Linked DNA regions of Daphnia pulex. The protein of the gene in region 1 interacts with the protein of each later gene in a pairwise test. Links are inferred from orthologs where the notes say so. Each region holds a gene or a part of one and is shown in the gene's direction. Other genes may lie near its edges.

Evidence for each region.
Region 2: the proteins of serine/threonine-protein kinase Pak-like (region 1) and cytoplasmic protein NCK1-like interact in a two-hybrid assay, tested with the Caenorhabditis elegans proteins (2 studies listed by BioGRID). The link is inferred for Daphnia pulex from reciprocal best matches to the Caenorhabditis elegans genes pak-1 and nck-1.

Annotation. Positions count from the first base shown.
Region 1 is NC_060022.1:3,422,183-3,426,106, reverse strand, and holds the start of serine/threonine-protein kinase Pak-like, read left to right. Parts: upstream 1-1,482; 5' UTR 1,483-1,568; exon of another isoform or gene 1,569-1,703; intron 1,704-1,825; 5' UTR 1,826-1,841; coding exon 1,842-1,897; intron 1,898-1,983; coding exon 1,984-2,182; intron 2,183-2,611; coding exon 2,612-2,777; intron 2,778-2,844; coding exon 2,845-3,203; intron 3,204-3,278; coding exon 3,279-3,475; intron 3,476-3,537; coding exon 3,538-3,724; intron 3,725-3,788; coding exon 3,789-3,924. Other genes in the region: probable protein phosphatase 2C 8, read right to left, coding at 1-348. UniProt on the Caenorhabditis elegans protein: Required for hypodermal cell fusion, together with cdc-42 and ced-10, leading to embryonic body elongation, which involves dramatic cytoskeletal reorganization.
Region 2 is NC_060024.1:8,484,786-8,488,709, reverse strand, and holds the start of cytoplasmic protein NCK1-like, read left to right. Parts: upstream 1-1,584; 5' UTR 1,585-1,778; coding exon 1,779-1,800; intron 1,801-1,886; coding exon 1,887-2,312; intron 2,313-2,382; coding exon 2,383-2,626; intron 2,627-2,690; coding exon 2,691-2,835; intron 2,836-2,914; coding exon 2,915-3,235; intron 3,236-3,299; coding exon 3,300-3,394; intron 3,395-3,457; coding exon 3,458-3,629; 3' UTR 3,630-3,924. Other genes in the region: trimethyllysine dioxygenase, mitochondrial-like, read left to right, coding at 1-351, 439-663, 732-1,002.

The DNA of each region.
Region 1 (3,924 bases):
GAGGATCATCCTGGTGACATACGTTTTCACCTTTCGAACTAGCCTTCGTAAAATTCTTGACAGCAACAGAGTCCAGCCTTGAATGCGTTCGTTACGTGCAGCCGCTCCAATCAAACCAAGGGCGAAGAGACCCAATATCAAGGGTATGAAGTTGAAACTGTTGCTGCTGCCGTTCCTGTCGGCTCCATACACGGGCGGTTCGTCCACCAAATTTTGCAATTCGATTGACAAGTTTGGCAATTCAATTTGATCGATATCGGCTCGTATTCCTTTAATAGAACGGGCTGATAGTCGCATCAGGATCGAGCAGGCCTCGTAGAGCACATCCGACTCTGTAGAGTCATCCATGGCTGTGGCTCAGTAAGTTTTCATGGGCGGAGAAGTAAGCACTTTTGCACAGAAAAACAAAAATCAACAATAAACAGGGGAAAAGAGGCGGAAGCGGAAGCAAGAGACGACGAGACTACAGCCGCTGGGAACAGTTGTCTTTCCGTCTTGAAACTGAATTTGTAAAATGTGGTTGGTTGCTAACGTTTCTTCGGGACAAGTCTTTTCTCCAGACTTAACGTCGAATGCCAGAAAGAAGAGGGGTTATTTTTATCCTCGGTAGCAAGAACTTGGAAGAAGAAAGAAAGAAAAAAGATAGGAAAAAGCCGCCCACTTATCCCCGCCCGGTCTTCGGATTCTGCTCACATATCACCGCACACAACTTTCCCACTAGAATGTTGAGTTTTGAGAAATTATTTCATTTTACTTTGAAAAGACAAATTGATTCTGCTTAACAGTCATTTTAAGAAAGAAATGTTTGGAGTAATAGCAACTGTTTTCTAAAAAACAAACAACTATTGTTCAATGTTTACCTGATTATCGTCTGTTCGTCAATCGTCAAGTGGCGTCCAACAAGCGATAGCTTATCAAGCGACTCCATGTGACCCCTCGTTTGCTTCTAGCAACTAGCCACGTAAGCGTCCTCCCGTGTCCCGTCCTGTATGAACTAATGCGATAACGATTTTTCATTGAATTTTTTAAAGTAAAAATTTACCGAGACAAGTATTAAAAAAAAATCGATTATGCATTTTTTGCGTTGTATCCGGTAATTATTAGGTCGACGTTCAACATTCATCTTGATCATTGTGACGAATATCGATGATGGACTTGCATGAAGAATAACCATGCACGTCAAAAATCAATTGAAATCGAGGGTTTTCTTTTTTCAATTTCCATTATAAAAAGACTGTGCAATCTGCGAATTCACGAAAGGTAAAACGCTGTATGCGTGCCGAATACGATGCGGATATCAACCGATATCATATTAGCTAGTCCAAGTTCCAAAGGTCTTTCTATTTAATCAGGTTTTATGTGTGAAGCTCGTGGGCTACTCGATGCAATGCAATATCCGCTCTGTCCATTTGATATGGATTACATGTGTCTATCGGGATGGGCTCAAATAGCACTATCGAGTGAAAATATCGATTTAAGTCTATATCGATACTGCTCCACAAGCGACGAAAAAGAAAAAAAAAAATTACAGACCAGACTGTCAGAGTAATTTGTTCTGTCTGTGGGTGGTATGTGTGTTTCTCCTTACGATTTTCTTGTTTTCGATTCATTTGCAAAGTTACGGTTTGTTCTGAAAATAGATAAGAAGGATATCTGAAACCTGAAAGCTTCTAGTTTTGCTCACAAGTGAAACAAATTGCCAGGTTTTCTCAGTTTTTCTTTTGATAGTATAGAGTTAGGCTCTCCACCCACTATATTTGTGTATTTTCGTCCAGTTTAAACAAACTGAAGTCTTATTTTTCGTCATTTTGTTTATCGTGAGAAGGTGAAAACTGGTGAAAATGGCAGATGAAGAGGATAAGCCACCTGCACCTCCTGTCAGACTGACTAGCAATCGGTGAGCAATAAAAAAAAAATGGGTTCTTTGCCAATCAACAGTACCCAACACCCTAAACCTTTTTTTGTATTGTTTTTTTTTTCAAGGAATGAAGCTGTTCCTGTTGTTCCTGTTGACCTTAGACCTTTACCAAAGGAACCTGAGTCAGAAAAGAAGAAAACTTTAAAAGTTAAGGTCCCTCAGAGAAAGAACAATGATAGATCAGATAAGCCCAACATTTCCTACCCAACAAATTTTGAACACACCGTTCATGTTGGTTTTGATGCAATCACTGGAGAATTCACGGTAAATTTCTTTCAAATGCTTGCATGAATAATTCTAAAATACTCTTGGGCGTTGCGAGTCATGGTTTAGGAATGCATGGCTTTATAGTTAAAATTATGACAAGTTTAGTTTTACGAACCAACATTATTTTACAACATTATTGATATTGAATTGAAAATGGCCAATTATGGTTGGAGAATGGCAGCCAAAAAGAAAAATAATTTTTTATTGTAGTGCTGCTGATTAAGTTCTCATTAGTGTGTGAATGTGTGTGCGTGTGTGTAGCCTTCAGATAATTGTATTAATGTAATTGTGTTTTCTTGAATGCAAGCAGCAATGTCAAGTAAGGAATGATAAAGCTAAGTCTGCTTGTTGAAGAATGAGTAGTTACTATTTTATGTCACATGCATCACATTAAATGTTATATTTTGACAAATTTGCCATACATAGGGAATGCCACAAGCTTGGGCCCAATTACTTCAAACATCCAATATCAGCAAACAGGAACAAAAGAAAAATCCTCAAGCTGTACTTGATGTGCTCAAATGGTACGACATTTCTTCCCAAGTAGGAAATGAAACCAAGTATATGGAAACGCATACGCAGAAAAGCACGGGTAAGATCCATAATATAAAATGCCTTATTTATGTTCTTGCTTTAGCAAAATTTTGTTGTCCTTCAAGTGGATGGTTTGGGCCCTTATTCAAGACCTACATATCAACAAACTGACAGTTCTTGTCCTAAAATTTCCTTAGTGGTCAATAGCCCAAGTCATCATAGCCATTCGTCCTCACAACATAGCTTGGCTACTCCCCTTCACCTTACAAGTTTTGGGCGACAAGGATCCGGCTCAGGCTCGGTATCTACTCCTGAAACAGAATCGAGCCAAGCTACTGACACCATCGGCAGTCTTGAGCGAGATGACGATAAAGGCAGTGAACATCTCGCAGACCTTGCCAACAATCAGGAAAATGAACGAGACGGTGAGGACAAAGCGCCTCCTCCGCCAGTGGCTGTTCGTCCAGAACGAACGAAATCGATTGTAAATTGATTTTTACAAGTTAAGCTTTTTTTTTCTTTTGTCAGTAATAATCCCCTTCGTTTTCTTCGCTAATAGTATACGAAACCTATCGAGGAACATAAGGTGCCTATTACCAACGGTGCCTATGCGCTGGACGGTAATAAAAATGCTCCAACGCCGAATGCGCGAAAGAAAAAAATGTCAGACGAGGAGATTCTAGAAAAATTGAGACTAATTGTGAGCGTTGGCGATCCCAATCGCAAATATACCAAAATGGAGAAAATTGGACAAGGGTAAGTTACATTCAAAAACTCAATCGTCTATGATGCAATGGTGGAAATTGTGTGTCCTTTAGAGCCTCGGGAACTGTATACACAGCAATAGAAACTTCAACGGGTCAAGAAGTAGCCATCAAACAAATGAATCTGTCACAGCAACCTAAGAAGGAATTGATTATTAATGAAATCTTGGTGATGCGAGAGAATAAACACCCTAACGTAGTTAATTACCTCGACTCGTACCTTGTTGGAGACGAACTCTGGGTAAGGCAGCCATTTTCAACATAAATGTTGATTTTCTAAAATTTATAATTCATTCGTATTTCAGGTCGTAATGGAATATCTTCCTGGGGGCTCCTTGACTGATGTTGTAACCGAAACTTGCATGGACGAAGGTCAAATAGCCGCAGTGTGCCGGGAAGTTTTACAAGCCTTAGAATTCCTTCACTACAACCACGTTATCC
Region 2 (3,924 bases), on another chromosome or scaffold:
CGGGAAGTACAAAGCACTACAAGAAGAGACGGACCGATTGACTACATGGGATGGAACTACCGTGAATTTATTGGGTTTAGAGCCCATTTCGCATCAACGCCTGATGAGTGATGATAAAATATTACGTGAAATATATCGCCGGGTCTTTCAGTACGGCTTCGTCAAAATAGAGCAAGTACCACCAACGAAACTTGACACCAGCGCGGTTATCGAGCGTATCTGCCGTATGTCCCACACGGTCTTTGGAAAGTTTTGGGAAACCGGTACCAATTTCGACCATAAGGATACGGGTTACCTGAACGGCTATTTAGAAGCCCATACAGACAACACTTATTTTACTGAAGCGCAAGGGTATGGATTTCCCTCTTTTCTTGTTGATTTAATTCTTATTTTTGAACTGAATTTATCCTTTTCTATCCTATCCGTTCATTGTTTTAGGCTTTTGGTTTTTCATTGTACTCATTTCAATGGGACGGGTTGCGAATCTTTCTTGGTAGACGGATTTCACGTGGCTAAGCAGTTAAAACAGCTTGATCCTTCTGCCTACGATTATTTGTCCAAAGTAAATATGGAAGCCGAGTATATTGAACCAGGTGAGCATTTCTCTTCTTGGGGTCCCATCTTCCGTCATCATCCAGTGAGCCATAAGTTGGAACAGATTCGGTAAGATACTTTTGTCTGAATAAAAAGGCGTTTCTATTTTAATTACAGTAAATTTATTCTTTATTCAGGTTCAACATGCTAGATCGGTCGCCTCTTTCTGGTATCCCACAAGAGGAAGTCGGTACCCATTATCGTTATCTAAAAACCATGGCGACGCTCGTAAAGAAAAAAGAAAACGAATATCGGTTTCGTCTCTCACCAGGAACCGTGATGATAATTGATAACTGGAGGCTCTTGCATGGGCGTGAAAGTTATCAGGGTGAAAGAGTATTGAGAGGTTGTTATTATTCCCGATCGGACTTTATGAGCAAAGCGCGACATTATGGAATAATATCTTGATTAAACTGCGCCACGATTAATTCGTCAATGCACAATAAAACAATACCATTTTCAAGACAAATTATTTGTTATTTTAAACCCGCATTTGGAAACGCATAGAAATTTTCGAATTTAATGTAAACTGAATATGATTACCGGAAAATAAATAATCATCAATTTAAAAAAAATTATAAAAGACTCGTCAGCTCCGCAAAAATAAAATGTGAATAAAACAATTTAATGTGTAGTAAAAAAAATTCATAAATGATATTACTGGCGTGGTCCAGTGGTTATGGTACCCGATCATCATGAGGTGGAAAGATTGGGATGGTTTCACCTGCGGCTCGTGGATACTAGTCAAACTAGCTAAATGAAGTACAGCATAAATAGAAATAAGTCTCTTAGTTCCCTCTTGGCTGAGCAACTATTTGAAAATGCAACAGTGCAATAATCGTAATCTGTTACGATATTGCATGCGCGGAAATCATTCCAATGACCAAAATTGATGGATCAATCCTCTATAAATTCTAAACTTTTTTTACAATGTAAATTTCACATTTTATTTCTCGTCAGCTCCGCTCTAGCCTTTAAAGTAAATGGCAACTCAGCAGGCATCGTATTCAACATGGCAGCTAACTAAAAACTGGCCCTGCCCACGAAAAGTTTTTCGAGGATTAAAATCGATAAAGACGAGTCATTGAATTGAATTTGCATCGTTCAGCTTGAGTATTGCTCAAAATCAAAGCATTTTTGGGCAGTGATTGCTCATTGGTGTCCGCTAAGGGTCGCACAACATAATGTCTAGCAGTCTAAAAATGGGTATGTTGGTTTATTATTATAGGGTGACTCATTATGCAGTTGTCATTAGTTGATGTTTATATGTTGGTTTATTGCATTCGTTTCAGGCAAAGCCATTGAAGACTGTTATGTCATTGCAAAGTATGATTATGTTGCCCAAGGATCACAGGAGTTGAGTTTAAGGAAGAATGACAAACTTCTATTGCTGGATGACTCAAAACATTGGTGGAAAGTTCAAAATTCTCAACACCAATGGGGATATGTCCCTAGCAATTATGTGAAGAAGGAGAAACCATCTATATTTGACTCAATCAAGAAGAGAGTGAAAAAAGGGAATAGCATCAACAAATCCTCCAACAGTCCCGGTGGCTCTCCCGTGAGAGAAGTTGATTCTCCAGTAGTAATCAAGCGCCCTTCTCCTGATACATCACATTATCCAGCTCATGATCTCAATGCAGGGCCTCACCAAGGCTGGGCGCTTGTTCGTTACAATTATGTTGCTCAGCAAACTGATGAATTGTCTCTTGTGAAAGGTAACTTGTTGCAAATTGACGTCAACACCCCCAGTATGTTTACTAACACTTCAATCAATGCATTTATTAGGAACAAAGGTGCTCGTGCTTGAAAAAAGCAGTGATGGTTGGTGGAAAGGTCAATACCAAAACCAAATTGGATGGTTTCCATCAAATTATACCCTCCCAGATTCATTACAACAGCAGCAGCAGCCTGTAGCAAACATGACAGCAAGCGTCGCACCGCCGGCTGCATCAGCTATGGTTATGTCTGCGGGAGAACACATGTACTCAGCAGCCGAGAATGTTTTGGATGTCGTAGTTGCTCTTTACAGGTAAGCCGAATTTTAGTCATTAATTTGGATTAAAATTTATTTTGGTATTTGATATATTTTACAGCTTTGCTGCACAAAATAACGAAGAACTAAGCTTCGTTAAAGGCGAGAGACTTGAAATTCTTGATCGTCCACCTGCAGATCCGGATTGGTATCGAGCCCGGAACACCAATGGTTCAATTGGTTTGATTCCAAAGAACTACGTTCAGGTATTATTTCGTCGTGACTAATTAATTATTGGTAACGTTATGCTCGTTACAATAAAACTTGTTCTTCTTGTTTCTTTAGGAGATTAGCGACTTTTTGACCGAACCTTTCCGTCAACGAGCACCTGGTGGTAATGGTGCTCCAGGTGGGCCTCCTGTCAGCAATTTGCCCCCGATGCCGAACAACGGAAGTAACGCAGTAGACGGCATGGGGCGAAGTTTGGATGCCTTGAGTTTGAATACACCTCCCGCCGTATCTGCTAGCCTGAGCCAGGATCCTAATTTCCCTCACTTGAAAGAAAAATCCTGGTTTTACGGAGCCATCACCCGAGCTGAATGCGATAATCTACTTAATCAGTATGGTCAAGATGGAGACTTTCTTGTGCGATCATCTGAAACCAACGTAATTTGTTTAAAAAAAAAACTATTTTAGAGTTTACGTTTACTAATTCATTTGTAAATAATAGGTTGGAGATTACTCCGTGTCTCTGAAAGCACCCGGTCGCAATAAGCATTTCCGAGTCCACGTCGAAGGAGCTTTGTATGTCATCGGTCAGCGGAGGTAAGATCGGATTATATTCATTTCATAGTCTTCCAATTACATTCTGATTAATATTCGAATTAGGTTCCATTCTATCGACCAGTTGGTAGACCACTACCAAAGATCCCCCATTTTCACGTCAGAAAAAGGAGAACGTCTCTTCCTTATCCGACCACTACCCAAGCCTGTCGGATATATCCCACCTTCTTTTGCACCACCCACTCCGGCGACAAGACCGATGCAACCGATGGCCTAATGGCGGTCTTAACACAAGTAGCTCTAACCAAATGTGTGGGTTTATTACGAACCCACTGTTCTCTCTTTGAAGGATAAAAAAAAAAAAAAAAAACACAGAAGAGACAACTCTCTCATCTCTTTCGATAGCTCCCCCACCCCAATAACTTTTTTCTCGCCGTTGACAACGATCCATTTAATTCATTTATGCAATTATTCGGCATTCATCAGATACGACCCAAGGGCACTTGGAGAGTGCGTTTTCAAGCTCACTTGATGAATTTAATCTCGTAGCTAGCCCGATATATTGGACAGAC